3 linked regions of the Callithrix jacchus genome follow. The protein of the gene in region 1 binds, or shares a complex with, the protein of each later gene. Links are inferred from orthologs where the notes say so. Each region holds a gene or a part of one and is shown on either strand. Other genes may lie near its edges.

What was found.
Region 2: the proteins of PAK4 (region 1) and ITGB5 are in contact, whole or in part, in a crystal structure (PDB 7S46), measured with the Homo sapiens proteins. The link is inferred for Callithrix jacchus from reciprocal best matches to the Homo sapiens genes PAK4 and ITGB5. Residues at the interface, in NP_001014831.1 of Homo sapiens: Gly330, Ser331, Gln358, Arg359, Leu362, Thr404, Lys442, Ser443, Asp444, Asp458, Phe461, Leu475, Val476, Gly477, Thr478, Pro479, Tyr480, Trp481, Met482, Glu507, Glu512, Phe516, Asn517, Glu518, Pro519, Pro520, Met524; in NP_002204.2 of Homo sapiens: Ser762, Arg763, Ala764, Arg765, Tyr766, Glu767, Met768, Ala769, Ser770.
Region 3: the proteins of PAK4 (region 1) and INKA1 are in contact, whole or in part, in a crystal structure (PDB 4XBU), measured with the Homo sapiens proteins. The link is inferred for Callithrix jacchus from reciprocal best matches to the Homo sapiens genes PAK4 and INKA1. Residues at the interface, in NP_001014831.1 of Homo sapiens: Ser331, Gln358, Arg359, Glu361, Leu362, Thr404, Asp440, Lys442, Ser443, Asp444, Phe461, Leu475, Val476, Gly477, Thr478, Pro479, Tyr480, Trp481, Met482, Arg489, Glu507, Glu512, Phe516, Asn517, Glu518, Pro519, Pro520, Met524; in NP_976248.2 of Homo sapiens: Gly178, Arg179, Ser180, Arg181, Gln182, Pro183, Leu184, Val185, Leu186, Gly187, Asp188, Asn189, Cys190.

What each region holds. Positions count from the first base shown.
Region 1 is NC_133523.1:34,652,083-34,657,667, reverse strand, and holds the start of PAK4 (serine/threonine-protein kinase PAK 4), read right to left. Parts: upstream 3,873-5,585; 5' UTR 3,743-3,872; intron 3,607-3,742; exon of another isoform or gene 3,471-3,606; intron 1-3,470. UniProt on the Homo sapiens protein: Serine/threonine-protein kinase that plays a role in a variety of different signaling pathways including cytoskeleton regulation, cell adhesion turnover, cell migration, growth, proliferation or cell survival.
Region 2 is NC_133516.1:78,130,197-78,135,897, reverse strand, and holds the start of ITGB5 (integrin beta-5), read right to left. Parts: upstream 3,903-5,701; 5' UTR 3,539-3,902; coding exon 3,469-3,538; intron 3,188-3,468; exon of another isoform or gene 2,133-3,187; intron 1-2,132.
Region 3 is NC_133516.1:32,415,748-32,420,748, reverse strand, and holds INKA1 (PAK4-inhibitor INKA1), read right to left. Parts: upstream 3,353-5,001; 5' UTR 3,223-3,352; coding exon of another isoform or gene 3,172-3,222; 5' UTR 3,083-3,171; coding exon 2,978-3,082; intron 2,447-2,977; coding exon 1,646-2,446; 3' UTR 1,603-1,645; downstream 1-1,602. Other genes in the region: UBA7 (ubiquitin-like modifier-activating enzyme 7), read left to right, coding at 446-538, 615-715, 1,173-1,302. UniProt on the Homo sapiens protein: Inhibitor of the serine/threonine-protein kinase PAK4. Acts by binding PAK4 in a substrate-like manner, inhibiting the protein kinase activity.

The DNA.
Region 1 (5,585 bases):
TCGTCCCAGATGCCTGAGGGCGTAAAGGTGAAAGCCTTCCCAGCCTGCCTTCTCCTCTGAGCATGGGGACTCGGTGGGGACAAGGTCCCGGCTAAGCCAGTCATGTGAACCATCTCCCCACCTGTTTCCAACCAGCCTGGTGGGTGGGTGGGTCCATAAACCTCCCATCTCATGGCGGAGGAAATCATTTCAGCGAGGGCCACAGAGCTGTGCAAAGCAGGACTTGGAAGGAAGGGAGGCCTGGAGCCTGCTGGGAGCACAGTGGTCCAGCCGCTGGGGGCGTCACTTGGCAACTGCAAGGAAAGGGCTCCAGCTTTTCTACTGCTAGGCACGCGCCAGAGAGACTCTGGCCATGGTCTACAAGGATACTCATTCCGGAAGGCCTGTCACCGCACCATTACAGCCCCAACAGGAGAGCACCTCAGCGGCCATCAACAGGTGAAGAGCCAACTCCCATGTGACACCATCACAAAAAGAAATAGCAGCAGAAAAAAATGAATGGCCTGGCCCAGACCGCCACATATCCCCACGGAGGGAGAGCCAGACTCCAAGGCTCAGCTCAAAGCCTGGTGCAGGGGTGTGCGCCTGTAATCCCAGCTCCTCAAGAGGCTGAAGTGGGAGGATCTTGGGTCCAGGAGTTAAGAGTTCAGTCCAGGCAACCCAGCAAGACCCCATCTCAAATACACCTAAAATGTTGAGCAAACAGAGCAAGTTGTAGAATGACATATTTATGGTGACACCATTTATCTGAACTGTGAAACGGTGGTCAGCCTCTGCTGGCCGAAGGAACTGCCCAGGCAGGGAGCTTCCAAAAGACTGAGGCCAGCCTCAGCCCAGACCAAGTAAGTTGGAAAGAAAATTTCCATGGTGGGCCTGGGCCAAAGCGTCTTTTCAAAGCTCTCTGGGGGGGTTCCACTGTGCAGCCAGGGGCAAGAGCTATTGTTGGTGAATACATCCAAAGGCAGTAAAAGCATGAAAGGCTGCAGAGGAATGGCGACTGCCAAACCCAGGACAGTGGCTGCCCCTGGAAGGGAGGGAGGAAGGGGTGTGAGGAGGAGACCCTTGGCCTCTAACCGTATCATGGTGCGCTCTGTCCCAGGCCAGAGGCTGGCTGGATGCATCAGTGTTTCATTATACTGAAAGCTCTACTTTTTCCCCTAGCCCAGTGTGTCGAAGGAATAAAAGTGGCAAATAAGAAATCATTTGTCCAAGGTTGGTAAGTGACAAGGGAGGGACCTGAATATGGGTCTCCAATGCCCAAACCCTATCCTTCCTTATCTGTGCCAAACGCCGAGATGCTGAGTGAGCTGGCACCGCAAGGCTGGGAGTCTGGGCCAGCTTCAGAGGGCTGCCTGGCAGTGTGCCGGCTCCCCGACCCTGCCAGAGCCAGGTGGGGATGGGGTGGCGGCCAGAGAAAGCCAGAGGCAGGAGAAGCAAGGGTCTCCACTGTCTCTCCCCAGGCAGCAGCAAGACTAATGCTTACACAGCAACTACTGGATGCGGGGCCTTGGGCCACAGCTCTCTACCTGGCATCCTCACAGCAATTCTATGAGGCAATGCTAACGCTATGCCCATTTTGCAGAAGAGGAAACAGAGGTCCTCACGCACCCTGTGAGTGATGGAGCAGGGTATGTACCAGGCATCGCTGGCCCAGCACTGCTCTCCGAATCACACTCCATCACAGCCTCACGAAGCTCCACACACCGGTACTCCTCAGCCCTCCGCTGCTCCCACTGTCCCTCCCAGGATGAGAGCCCCCTCAGGGTCTCACCAGGAACCTGCACAGACTCTGTTGCCCTGGATCCCCAACTCTGCAGGGCCTCTGCACACTGCTCCTCTGAGCCCATGCCCAGCCCTCCTCTTCATCCTTCAGAGCCTTCCTAGGGGAAAGGGACTTGGGCTTCAGCCCAGGGTAGGGGCACCCTCCCAGCTCCCTGCTGGCTGAGGGGCTGATTCCACTCTGCTCCCAAGGGGAATGAGTGCCCGCTGAGGCTGGGGGCTCTCCGGGTCTTGTCCCCTGCCCCACTCCCAGCACCTGGTGCAGTGCCCAACAGTCAACCCCCAGCAACGTCATATCCTCTGCAGGCCAGGCAGGGCTTCAGCGGGACCAGGACCGAGGCAAGGAAGCCCACCGAGCAATTCCGCAGGCACCCTAATAAACAAGGTAAGGAGGGAGGGAAGGGCTGGGCACACGACAGAATGAGAGCCTGCAGCCAGTGTGAGCCAGGGTGGTACCAGGCCAGCTGAGAGTGAGCGACCTGTCAGTGACAGGGGACAGGGTGGGTAAAGGATTCCCAGCAGAAGAACAGGAAGGTCAGAGAACAGGCGGAAGGTGCAGGCCCGGAGTTAGAGAACAGCAAACAGGCCAGGGAGAAACGGGCAGAGCCACAGAAGTGAGGTGGGAGGGACAGGACCACAGTGAGAGCTTAGGGTTTTAAGAACAGTGAACACCCAACTCTGCCTGGGGTACCACCCAGGGACACCCTCCCCAGTCAGAAACTCATCTGACTCCCTCACTCGGACTCCAGGCCACCCACAAACACCCCACTCCCAGAGGCACACAGGAATCTTCCCTGCCAGATCACACCCTTCCAAGTAAACCAAGACAATCTGATCCTTTCCAGGGAGTAGCCCGGCCCTGCCCAGCCCCCTGCTTCCAGGAGAGACCGAATGGCTGGCTGCGGACAAGGTGGCAACCAGGGGCAGGAGCCCTGGAATCACTCAGGCCCAGCTTCGATTCTCACTCTGCCTTCAGCAGAAGCTTCTGAGCCTCACTTTTCCCGTCTGTAAAGTAGGTTGGTCCTGAGCACTCACTTCACAAGAGTGCAGCAGGAGTGAAATAAGACCGCCGCGCACACAGGGTGTGGAGCACGGTGTGAGCCCTCATTAAACGTTAACCGACGTTCTGATGACTTCAGAGGCGTCGGCCAGAGGAGGGCTCTGGGCCAGAACTCCGGAGTTGGAATTCCAGCGCACAACTTATGCATCGGGTGACCTTGGGCAAATCACGTTACCTCTTAACACCAGGTTAAGACCCTCTAAGGCTGTAGTGAGGGCTGAATAAGCCAATACAAGCAAAGTGTTAAAAAGAGGGTCTAGCCCATAGTAAGTGCTTCATTAGTGTTTCCTATTATTATTATTTGCGGGAGGGTTCCCCCTTCTCCAGCCACCAGGAAGCATCTCTAACCACGCCCCTGGATTCCCCACCCGGCCCCCGGTCCCCTGCAATAGGCTCCTCCTTGGGTTTTAATTTCTGAGTCTGGAAAACACCTGCCGTACTGTCAGATTCTGACCTTTGCACCTTCTAGGCACGCCCCAACTTTGATGCCCTAAAAGATGCCCCCGAACCTAAAACTCATTCATCTGCTCCTCTGGGGGCAGTTTTAAACCTCCAACCTGGCGCCCCCGTGGCTGTGACCTCTGACCCTCGTAGGCGCAGCCTCCCCTCAAATTATAAACTTTGACCCTACCTTTATTGAGATTTGCCCAGATCCCCTCGAACGCGCACCCAATTCGAATTTCAAACTTTGCACTCCCCTTCGCCACGCCCCCTTCGCTAGTCTGACCTCCGGGCTCCACTACCCCTCCCTCCAGTCAGCGTTAACCCCCGACCCCTCGGAATCGACCCTGCCCTCCACCAGTGAACTTTGACCCCGGCGGCCCCGCCCCCTCCTCGCGGAAATGCTGTCCCGCCGCCAGCCCCAGGCCCACTACAAGCCCCTGGCTGGACGCGTTATCCTACCGGCTCGGCACCGCAGTCGCTCGCGGCCTAGATGCTTCGCCTGGAACTCCACGCCCTCGCGCCTCCTTCAGCTCTCTTGCGCCGCCGCCATCGCGGTTACTGCTGCCGCCATGTTGAATCCCCAACGAATATCCGGGGCTTTCCCCCCCTCCTCCTTCACCGCCCACCAGTCCCCATAGCAACGAAGCTGACCGGGCAGTGGGCAGGACCAGAGTGGGGGCGGAACCGGCGCTTCTCCAAGCCCGCTCCAGCCTCCGATTGGTGCAGAGCGTCCAATCGATGACATTCGGGCAGAAAATGCCAAGCGGGGATTGGAAATTTTGGAAAAGGTGCGGGAAGGCTGGCTCCCAGCCCACTGAGGTCCTTAAAGGGGAAATGACTGTTTTCGTGTGATACCGATTTCTCAACTTCCCCCTAAAAGGAGTTAGGGGCTGGGAGAGAGTAATGGGTTAATTATGGCCAGAAATAGTTCTTAAGCACTTACTCGGAGCCAGGCACCTGGATAAATGCTTTATTTGCATTTTTCTCGCTGCATACACAACCCTGTGGTATAATATAATTAATACCTGTTTTACAGATAAAGAAACAGGTTCAGAGGGTGAAATAGCTGGCTTGACATCATAGTAAGAAGGTAATGAGTTTTTAACGCTGGTCTATCTGAGCCTGGGAACCTAATACTGTTTGATCTTTAATTTTTAAATAAGTTTTTAAAAAAATAACTAGTCAAAATATTGGAAACAAACACCTGACGTCCCATTTTTAGAATTATTTTATTTTATTTTTATTTATTATTATTATTTTTGAGACGTTGTTTCGCTCTTGTTGCCCAGGCTGGAGTGCAATGTCACGATCTCGGCTCACTGCAACCTCCGCCTCCCGGGGTTCAAGAGATTCTCCTGCCTCAGCCTTCCGAGTAGCTGTAATTACAGGCATCCACCACCATGCCCGGCTAATTTTTTTGTATTTTTAGTAGAGATGAGGATTTCGCCACATGGGCCAGGCTGGTCTTGAACTACCAACCACAGTTGATCCACCCGCCTCGGCCTCTTAGAGTGCTGGGATTATAGGTGCAGGCCACCGCGTCTGGCATTTTTCTTTTATTTTTAAAGAGAAGGTTTCACCATGTTGGCCAGGCTGCTCCAACTCCTGGGCTCAAGCTATCCTCCTGCCTCAGCCTCCCAAAGTGCTGGGATTGCAGGCGTGAGCCACCGTGCCGGACCAGACAGCTTTTTTCTCCACGATCTTATTTTTTGGACGCCAGCCTTCCTGCTGTTCCTGAACACTCTCAGGTGTGCTCCCACCTCACGGTCTTTGCATTGGCTGTTCCTCTGTCTAGAACTTACTCTTCCCCTAGGTATCCTTATAGTTCCCTTCCTCCCCCCCTCTCTTTTTTTTAAATAGGTTGTTTTTTTTTTTTTTTTTTGAGACAGAGTCTCACTTTGTTTCCCAGGCTGGAGTGCAGTGGCACCATCTCGGCTCACTGCAACCTTTACCTTGCGGGTTCCTGTAAACCTCCTGAGTAGCTGGGATTATAGGCATGCACTGCCCGGCTGACTTTTGTATTTTTAGTAGAGGCGGGTTTTGCCATGTTGGCCAGGCTGGTCTTGAACTCCTGACCTCAGATGATCCAACCACCTCGGCCTCCCAAAGTGCTGGGGTTATAGGCGTGAGCCACCGCACCTGTCTCTTCCTCCCTTTTCTGGGGCTTTACACGGATGTCACTTTCTTAGTGAAATAATTCCCTTGCTCACCCGTAGGAAAGCAGCAAACATCTCTCTCCCATATTACCCAACTCTGTCTGCATTTAACTTACTGATCGTTGCTAATTGTAGTTACTGCTAGT
Region 2 (5,701 bases), on another chromosome or scaffold:
TGCCCTCTTCTGCCTCCATCCCCTTTATAAAAAGCTCCCCCAACTCAAGGATGATGGAGTTAAAATGTAAATCCATAGGATAAACAGCAGTCTACAGACCAATGATGCGCTGTTTGCATTTCATTGTCCTGTCAGCTCTAAACCAGTGCCTGGTTAGCTACGAAGAGCTGCAGACACAGCCAGATTCCAACAACCCCATCACAGATCACAGGAAATGTGGTAGGGGGTGAGGGGGAGGGGAAGGGTGCTGACAACAAGAGTCCACTAAATAAAACAAAGAGCTTTTTAGGATGTGCAGGGCGTTCACTAGAAGAACACCTGATTGCTTTTTAAAAAGAAATGAATGTGATAGCACACATAATTCCAGTGGTGTTGCAGAATCAAGACGGTGCTCCTCTCTGTCTTGGCAAAGGCAGTGTGGAAAAGCCTCACCTCAGTGAGAGCCCTGGTTTTGTGGGATGACCAGGTCCTAGGGTTCGGTCTGCAGTCTCTTGGCCATAAGTTAATAGAGAGAGCAGGAGATAACCCTTGGTAGGGTCGGGAAGGGGTTGTCAGCCGGCCAGGGACTTGTTTGAAATAAGTCCCTGAAACCTAAGGTCAGTTTCCCGTTGGAAATCTGACTGAGATGAAAGTGAGGTTAGAGTAACAGAGAGAGCCACTCAGCCACTGGTCCAGGGACACCCAGGCAGGCATGGCCTTGAGGGTCATCTTTCTTTTCTCGGAGTAAGTTTTTTTCTTTCAAATCATGTTTCTCGTAGCAAGACAGAAACACACCCTGAATAAAGTACCCGTAGTGCTTCAAGAAGAAGGTGAGGGAAGAAAAAAAATACCAGAATGTTGAAGTTAATTCAGCAACACGGAGAAACTAGGAGACATCACACAGATGTGAGTCAGCCTCTGCTAACCCTGAGAAGCTTCACGGCCTTAAGAGGTAAGCAGCAAGTTCTGGAGGCCAGTGACATGGCTTGCTCCACTACCACCATCAAAACCGGTGGTCAAAGAAATGGGCGGAGGCTGGGTGTGGTGGCTCACACCTGTAATCCCAGCACTTTCGGAGGCCGAGGCAGGCGGATCACCTGAGTTTGAGACCAGCCTGACCAACATGGATAAACGTCGTCTCTTCTAAAAATACAAAATTAACCAGGTGTGGTGGCGCATGCCTGTAATCCCAACTACTCAGGAGGCTGAGGTAAGAGAATCACTTGAACCTGGGAGGCAGAGGTTGCAGTGAGCTGATATGGTGCCATTGCACTCCAGCTTGGGCAACAGGAGCAAAACTCCGTCTCAAAAAAAAAAGAGAGAGATGAGCCATGGGAAAAGGGAACCCGAAAGAGTTGCAAATGAACCACTATGCTCAGTGTTTTTCTCCTCCCTACGCTGAGTCAGATAGGACAAAGGGCACTGGACCAACCCTGTCCCTGGTTCACCACTCCTGATCCAAGTACAGGGGAACGGCAAGTCACTTCCTTCCTGAGCCCAGGTGAGAAAATGGACATCACTGTGAAGATGTGAACTTTGAAAAACAGAAAGCACGATGCAAGTGGAAAATAATGTATTTTTTTAAAATTATTTGCGGCCTGGCACGGTGGCTTATGCCTTTAATCCCAGCACTTTGGGGGGCCAAGGCAGGCAAATCACCTGAGGTCAAGAGTTCAACACCTGCCCGGCCAACCTGGTAAAACCCTGACTTCACTAAAAATACAAAAATTAGTCAGACATGCTGGTGGTGCCTGTAATCCCTGCTACTCCAGAGACTAAGGCCGGAGAATCGCTTGAACCTGAGAGGTGGAGGTTGCAGTGAGCCGAGATGGCACCAATGCACTACAGACTGGGCTACAAGAGTGAAACTCTGACTTAAAAAAAAAAAATTGCAACTGGAAATTATTATAATTCTGTTTATCAGAATTACAGAATGTCAAGCTGGAGAGGAACTTAGAAGCCATCTCCTTTGGCAGTTTCTAAACTTCTGATTTTCAAAGAAAACTAGGATTTAAAAACAAAAAAGAAACAGAAAAAGAGAAGGGGAGGTTAACATAGGATTGCCAGATTTTCTTATTTTGCCAAAATTAAAATCTATTATCACTAAAAAGTATTAAAGGAACATTTCCCCCCAAAAAAGAAAAAGTGCCTACTTTCAAACTAAAGGAAAGTCCTTGTGGAGCAGGGAAGTGTTGACAACAATACATTCCCGTGTGTTGCGGGATACTTCTCCCTTCTCTTTGCTTTCCCTAGGGACCCATGAAAATATCCATGATGGGCACTGGCTGCCGGATGGGTGTTTGGAATCCACACATCTACTCCAAGCTCTGGAGTTATTTTCCCATTTAAAACTAAAAACAAAACCTTGCTACAGTATTACGTTTTAAGTAGGGTCTGAACAAATTTTTTGTTTACTCAGACCCCTCTTCCACTCTTAAACCTAAACCTCCACAGCCTTCATGTAAATGAGACAGCCTGGGGGAACAGTCCTCCCCTCTGGCATCCAGGCAACCACTTGGCTCACAAGAGCAATCGAGTATCTCCGGCTGGAAAGTGAATAGAGCACTCTTATTTCCCAAAGGAAAGGAGAAAGTCCGCATCCCAAACAAGTGCATCCTTCCTCGAGGGCCTCCGAACTGCCACGTCTGGTCCTCTCTCAACGCCGAAAACTAAGAGCAGGTAACCGAGGGATCCTCGCAGATGCCAACCCACGACAGCGTCGGGCTAAGGCAATTTCCACAGCCCCTGTCCTCGGCTCCAGAATCCACCACAGTTAGGGGAGTGTGAGGCTCGGAGTGTGTGCAAATCTCGGGAGAAAGTCGGGCAGAAGGAATATGATACAGTCCCAGGTGGGGCCGCGGTTTGGGACGCAGGTTCCCCCTCGGGTTTGCGGTTTTCTGGGTGAGGGTGAGGAGGAAGCAGGCGGGGAGAGGGCTGCATCTTCAAACGAAGGCGGCTGGTCTAGGCGCAGCGAATTCCAGGATTCGCTCGGGGCCCTGTGCCCCCGCGTTTCAGGAGACGAGCCCTCCGGAGCGGAGGTGGCCCCGGGCTTTGGCTGGGGCTTCGAGTCTCTCTTGCTTCCCCGAGAACCGGGCACCAGCAGCACCCCCCCTTGCCTGTCCCCGGCCGGCCACAAGGGTCGCTTTGTGCCCGTGAACGGAGAGCCCGGGCCCTAAGTCAGGGCTGGTGGCGGTCCTCCCCGTGCCCTGGGCGCGGGCGCGGACGGGCTAGGTCAGCAGACGGGCCGGGCTGTTTACACAGGAAGGGAAGCTCCTCCTCAGCCCGGGAGGGGACAGGCGACTCCCGACAGCCCGGCGGGACTGCGCGCCGGGGTTGGCGCACGCAGTTCGGGAGAGCCCAGCGGGGCTGTCCCCAAGCGACTGGCCCACCAGGGACTGCCCCGGGGGCGCTCCCCGCCCCTCCGAGACGCCCGCCCGCGGCTGTGTGCGCGACAAAGTTTCTTTAGGCACCGCGGGCGACGCGGCTTACCTGCGAGCCGGGGCAGGAGCGCGCAGAGCCCCAGGAGGCAGGCGTACAGCGGCGCTGGGGCCCGCGGCATGGTGGGGCGCCTGCCTCAGCGGCGGCGAGGGCGCTGCACTCCGCGGGGGCGTGCGGGCGGGCGGGGGCCGGAGCGCGGGGGCCGAGGGCTGGGGGCCGCAGCCGCATGCCCCGCGCGCAGCTCCGGCTCACGGCGCCCGCTCTGGCCCGCGCCCCGCCGCCACCATCCCTCCCGCAGCGCTCACGGCCGAGTCCCGGGGCCTCGGCTGCCCTGGCTGGCGGGCCGGGACGCCTGGGGTGTCGCGGCTCGGGACGGCCCTGGCGGTCGGCTCTAGGCAGGGGAGGGGCTGGCTCCGCTCCGCGGCCGCGACTTGGGCTCCTAGACGCGCCCCGCGCCGAGGCTCCCCCGCGCGCCGGCACACTCTGCCCTTCGCCTCCGCCCCTTCCTTTCCTCCCTCCGGCCCGCCAGGCTCCACTTTCCTCCTCTCCTTTCTCCTCCCCTTCTCTCCCCTGCCAGGCCCCCGCCCGGCCGCCACACGGTCAGCTTACGGCGAGGCGGGGCGGGGCGAGCTCCGGGCCGGGCCAGCTCCGCCCTGTGCGGGGACCGGCCCGGGACGCGGAGGCCGGACTGGCCCAGGTGGAAGTCGCTTGCGGCTCACTGGAGGCGTGGGGGGCTCGAAAACACTGAGTAGAGCCCGCTCGGGTTGCTTAGCCCCCAGTCGCCACGGGAAGGGAGCGGATATTACTTGGGCCAAAGACAGTTGCTAGACTGCGAGAGGGAGAGCAGGTACTGGGGTCGGGCCGGGGCCACTCCTCCTCCCAAAGCCGCACGGCCGGCGGCCTTCGCCCAAGGTGGGACGTAGCCGCCCGTGCGTGGAACCTCAAGGCGACTTCTGGATGGGCAAGGGAGGGCACAGTGGGGCGTGGAGGCACAGGTAAAACCTAGGTTTCACCTTTTTTTTTTTTTTTTTTTTTTTTTTTTAACTGCATCTCGCTCTCACTCCGGCTGGGGTGCAATGGCCCAATCTCGGCTCACTGCAGCCTGGACTTCCTGGACTCAAGGGAACCTCTGCCTTAGCCTCCTGAGTCTCTGGGACTACAGGCGAGCACCACCACACCCGGACAATTTTTACATGTTTTTAGAGATGGGGGTCTTGCTGTGTTGCCCAGGCTAATCTCGAACTCCTGGGCCCAAGCAGTCTTCCTGTGTCTGCCTCCTAAAGTGCTGAGATGATAGGCGTGAGCCACCTCGCCCGGCCCCTTTTCACTTTTTAACGTTTGCACCTTTCAGGGATTTGAGACTGGCCAATATGCCGCTATACTTCGTTTTCCTTACTGATAACCTGTCAGTTTCCATGATCAAACAGACTCAAAAGCATGTCCTCAGGCTTTCAATTTATCATTTACGTATGAGCTGGATCTGAATTGGCCAATGAGGAGTGGGGTGGGGTCTTCTTGAGTTGGTGCCGCAAAAGATCCCTTGGGTTTGGCTTGGCTACAGCAAGTGGTTTGTAGTCAAGAGGGAGAAGGTAGGGGAAGTTACAATAGAATACCTACCACGTACAGAGAGCTCACTGCCAGTCAGGCACTGTTCTAAGTGCTTTACCCTTATTAACTCATTTCATCCTCCCGATAAACCCTACCGTTATCCAGTTGAGGAAACGGAGGGACAGAGGGGTTAACTGCTGGAGGAAGTGACAGCTGGGATGCCTTGTTCAAAAGTGCAGCATGGCTTGGCTAAAACGGAAGCAGTAAGGGCTAAAGAACAAAGGGGTCTCACCTTTGTAGGTCAGGGACCAGGTGGGAGAATGGCTTGGAGGGCCCAGTGGAAAACTGTCCTACCTGCCCAGCTTAAGGAGTTTGGATGTTAACCTTTATTTGTCACCTCCTCCCAAACTCTAACAAGGTGGTGCCTCAATTCCTGAGGAAGTAAACTTCTTGAAGTACAGTATAGTGTGCCTGGGTGCAAAGATGCAGCAGTCCATAGCAAGCTCCTTTATAGTATTTGTGAAAGGAAAATAAATCTTGGGGCCCCAAAATCACTAAGCCAGGAGAAAAGTCAATCTGGGAACCATGTCAGGCAAACCTGCCTCCCATTCTGTTCCTAAATAAGATAGCTACAAAGTTAAGAAGCTACATACCTCCCTCACAATTTGCCTACAGGAAGTCCTTGTGGAGGAAGGACAGACAGAACTCAAAGCCATCCCTCTGAGGCTCATCTGAG
Region 3 (5,001 bases), on another chromosome or scaffold:
GGACAGTGGAGTCCTGGTGGACACTATGCCCTTTGCTCCTGTGTCCGATGAGTAGCCCAAGGCCCTGGCAGTACAAGATGGGGGGACAGGATGTGCCCCCAGCTCCCAGCCTTGTCTTTGAGGAACAAGCAGCTTTATCGGAGGCTGCAGAGGCCCTGCTCTGGGTTTCCTCAGGAAGCACCACCCCTCAGCCCCCACCCTCACGACCGGCCCATGTGATGGATTGTCTGTTTCCCTGTGTGGGCCCCATAGCCCCATTTCCTGTGCTGGCCCCAGCCTGGGCAGGGAGGGGGCTGAGACTCTGGGCCCAGATCCCACCTCTCCCCCCACCCCCTGGCTCCTGCTTCCTGCCAGTCCAGCTCTTCCCCTAGGAAAGGCTACTGGTAACTGGGATGGGGGTGGGGGGAGGTAAGAAGTCTCTCACTACTCCCCTACCTCACCCCAGTTCCATCACCTGAAGTGGACCTGTTGGGACCGTCTGAAGATACCGGCTGGGCAACCTGAGAGGACCCTGGAGTCGCTGTTGGCTCATCTTCAGGTGTGCCCTGTCCCTACCCCACCCCCTAGGCTCAGCCCAGCCTGGCCCAGTTGGTTTCTGACCTTTCTCCCTCTAGGAGCAGCACGGTTTGAGGGTGAGGATGCTGCTGCACCACCCAGCCCTGCTCTATTCAGCCAGATGGTCACCTGAAAAGCAGGCCCAGTGCCTGCCCCTCAGGTGAGCCCACTCAGGGCTTTAGACAGGCCCCACCAGTCCCTGGAGGCTGGGGCTAGGGGCCACACAGCCTTTCAGCTTCCCAGCCCCATTCTGGGCCCCTCACACCTCCCAAGCATTCTTTCACCAAATGGAGCCAGCAAATGGGCTGGGGGTGGGGTGAGGGCTGAGAGCCTGAGGAGGAGCCTTCAGGAGCTGCCTATTTGGCCAGCCCCACAGGCTCCCCACATGCTGTACAGCCCCTTTCACAGCCCACTCCCAAGGGACCCACAGCTTCCTGCCTCCCACTTGCCTCACCAGCTGCTCCTAAAATAGTTTCAGATGTTTCCTGTCTTGAGCGGCTCCTGCTCCTGGCCTGGGCTCCTGACGGCCCGCTAGCACCCTCCCTAGTCCATGCCAGTCTGCCCTCTGCTTGCCATTGCTCACCTACCCAATCTTCCCTAAACCCCACCCCCACCAGGGTGACAGAACTGGTTCAGCGGGTGACAGGTCAGGTACCTGCTCCTGGGCTGCGAGTGTTGGTGCTGCAGCTGAGCTGTGAGGATGAGGAGGAGGACACTGCCTTCCCACCTCTGCACTATGAGCTGTGACAAGGCAGCCACCACGTCACCTAGCTCAATGGAGCCCTATATCCCAAGCCCTCCATTGTAAGCCCACAGTAGGCACTCAATAAATGCTGTTGAAGGAAGGCATAGTGGAGAGGATGGATGATAGAACACAATGCAGTAATGCACACGGGTGTGACATGGGCAACACAGGGACCCTCACACGGAAACAAAAAGCTCTTCAGTAGATTCGTATGCCTGGGCTGTGCCTCACAGGGCTGGGGCTGCCTCTTAGCGCCTCAGGGGTATGGCCTCTTAGCGCTTCAGGGGTATGGAACCAGGACAGTCTAGAAAAAAGGCTTTTATTGTCCCAGGCTGGAAGGCAGGGTCAGAGGTAGCTGACATCATTGCAGATGATGGGCTGGCGGCTTCGGCAGCTCATGAGGGCTGCAAAGCGTGAAACGTCTGTAGGCAGTTCAGTTTCTGGGCGAGGTGGGCATGACAGCCGCTTTCCTGCCATAGCTGTCCGCCGAGCCCTGGCCAGCCGGCGACGAAGCTGCTCAGAGAGGCCAAGCAGGAACTGAGGGGGTCGAGCACGGGCACGGGGCCCACCTCTGTCACCCACTTCACTCCCTGTCTCAGGCAGCTCCATCCAGTTGTGCACCAAGTCAGCAAAGCAATTGTCCCCCAGTACCAGGGGCTGGCGACTACGACCCCTGTTCAGTAGGGCTGCTGTCCAGTCCTCTGCTTCCAGTTCCTGCCAGTGCTCCAGGCAGGCGTCTGGGGTGGACTTGGGCCGTGGACGGCGGCTAGGTGGTGCACTGGCTACTGGGGCTCTGCCAGCCATGGGGAGGCCACTGACTGAGAGGCGCTGCCTACAAAGGGGCTGTGCTGAGGGTGCTGGGCGTTGGGGTACAGGCAGTTCTTCCTCTCGCCATGTGCTGCCCGACACCTCGGAGAAGCCAGAGTCCCAGTCCAGGGCATGCTCCCTGGGGCCTCCCAAGGCTGCGCCCCTGTCTTCTGTCACCACTGCTTCCTCCTCTTCCTCCTCCTCCACACAGCAGACTGAGTCCTCTTCCAAGGCACCTGAGGCCCTAAGCTGGTGGCTGGGCTGCACATCTGGGCCAGTTTGGGGGGTTGGCTGCAGGGAGCCAGGCATTGGGGGTGAGCCTGTGTCCCGGCCACACAGCTGAGGGGAAGAGAGGGTAGAAGTCGGAGAGGTATCACTTGTCACCCCTTCCTGCCTGCCTGCCAGGCCAGCCCAGAAAAGAGAGGGTTCAGCCGGGTGCTAGTGAGCACAGGGCAGGCATGGGGGTGTTGGCACTTGAAGCTGGTGTGGTTCTCATCCTCCGACCTGGTGGCAGTCCGGCAGGCTGCAGCACGTAGGGCCGGGCAAGTCGTCACCCGCCACCAGGGCCGGCGGGCAGGCGGGCAGGCAGGGTTGCGGGCCTGAACGGGGAAGTAGGTCTTGCCCAGGACTGGAGGGGCATCCCATGCCTATTGAGGGATTCAGTTCCCCGAAGCGTCTTTCAGAGAAAGATCGCTTGCTAGCTGAGGGGTAGAGAAGGGAGGCACAAACCAGCCTGAAGTAGGGGGCGTTCACAGCAGCGCCAGCACCTCGTGAGTCCCTTGCCGCCCCATGCCCCGTCCCCAAAGAAGTCCCCTTTCTACTCTCTCCTCCCGCGCAGTTCCAGCAGCACGGCCAGCTGGGTTCTGTTACCTGATGCCCAGCGCAGTTCCCAACTGTCCGAAACCCAACACGGGCCATCTGGGCCATAGGCGCCGCGCCGCCCCCACCCTGCCTCGGACTGGTGGGGCACACCATCCACCCAGCACCCGTTTGGTGTTCGGGCCGGGCGGTAGCCTGGCACCCCGCACGCGTCCTCACGAACCGCACCCGCTCCCAAGCCTCACCAGTTCCCAGCGGAGCTGGCTGAGGAAGCTGTCAAGCCGAGCGCTGTGCATGTCCGTGCCGAGGTCCCCACCGAGCCTGCCAGCTGCTCTGGGAACCCCGGCGGAGCGGCGCTGAGCGGGCTGGGCGGGCCGGCCAGCGGCGCCCTCAGCCTCCGCCTGGCTGCGCGGCTCCTCGCTCTCCGTAGCTCCTGCAGCAGCCGCCCGGACATCTGGCATCAGCGCCCCGCCCCGGCCCCGCAGCCAAACGGGGCGGGGCTAAAGCTCTGCATCCCTCCCGACTCCGCCGCGGCTCTTGGGGGGAAGGGAGGGGTCGTAGCTGGAAGTCGGACTGGGTCGGGCCGGGGACCCTCGATCCCCCAGACAGTTGAGCAGACCCTGCGTTTGCTGCGTGACGCAGAGCAGGTCGCCTCATTGTGGGGGCCTCACCCTCCCCATTTGTTCTATGGTGGAATAGCGGTCCCTCCCACGGGGCGCCGTGCTGCGCCCGCCTGTAGGCAGAGCGCCAAGGATGGTCGGACCCAGAGAGGTTGTGGCCCACTAGGGTTCTGACCCACGGGACCTGTTCCTGAGGCTGCCCTCGGCGCTCCGTGGACGGGATGGAAGTGGGGTTCGGCCCGACTGAGGATTCAGAGAGCGCGGGATTTTGTGGCAGCGCATCCGCGGGGCCTCAGTCGCGTCCCAACCAAGTTGGAGGGCGTCCAACCACTAGACGGGACTGCCCTCTAGTGGGGAGTGCTCGGCTAGCCGCGAGTCCAGCGGCGACACGCGACCATGACATTCCCTCTGCCGGTACCAGGTGCAAGCTGAGGGTCGGTACAGGGGTGAGCCTGTCTCCTGAGGCTGCTCTATCATCACAGGCTAGGCTTAAGTGTAGTGTAGTTGCAGACAGACTGGACATACCAGCAACAGGAAAATACCAGGGAATGAGGGCTGTGGGCTATCTTGGGGAAGGACAGTCTCAGGAGGTGACATCAGGATGCACTCAAGAAGAGGGGCATTCTAGACAGAAGGAGCAGCCAGGGAGAAGACCCCGAGGGACAGGAACTGTACATAAAGAAGGTCCAGGTGTCTGTGATTGTTGGTGGTGGCAGGAAGGAAAAGGTCAGCAAAACCAGGCTTGGTGTGATGAGAAGCAATGGGGGCCTTTGAACAGGAATCGCCTGGGCTAGCCCTTGTTTAGATAATTCCAGCTGCTTTCAGAAAAGGATTCTGCAATAAGAGTGGAGGCCCCTGCCCTAATCCAGGCAAGGAAGGGGAAGACCTAGACCTGGACGGGGCAAGTGCACTGAAGGGGGTCACTTTGGGGTATGTTTTGGAGCCAAAGTCAAGTCTTGCTGATGCATGGATGTGGGCAGGAAAAGAGAGGTGTCAAGCATGACTCCTACATTTCTGGCATTAACAGCTGGTTGGATGAAATTGCCATAAACTGATCTGGGAAAGACTGGAGAAGAGTGGGTTTGGAGAGGAAAATTCAGTGATCATTTATTGACATGTAACCCTTGAGATGCCTGTTAGACATTCAAGTGTAGTTGCAGGGTCAGCTGCTAGGTGTATGACTCTAGACTTCAGGAGACAGATCAGCACTGGAGCCTTGGATCTGGGAGGCATAGGAGAGAATGGATGGTATGTAAGGCCATAGGCCCGGATGAGGTGGGGTGGGAGATGAATGCAGACAGAGGGGAACAGCAACCAAGATCGTGTCCTGGAACATTCCACGAGGTGGAAGTAGGGGAGATATGAAGCAGCACTATCAAAGAGGCTGAGCAGGAACAGCCAGGAGAAATATGAGAGCGTGGGGACTCAGGAGCCAAGGGGAACAAGCACTGAATG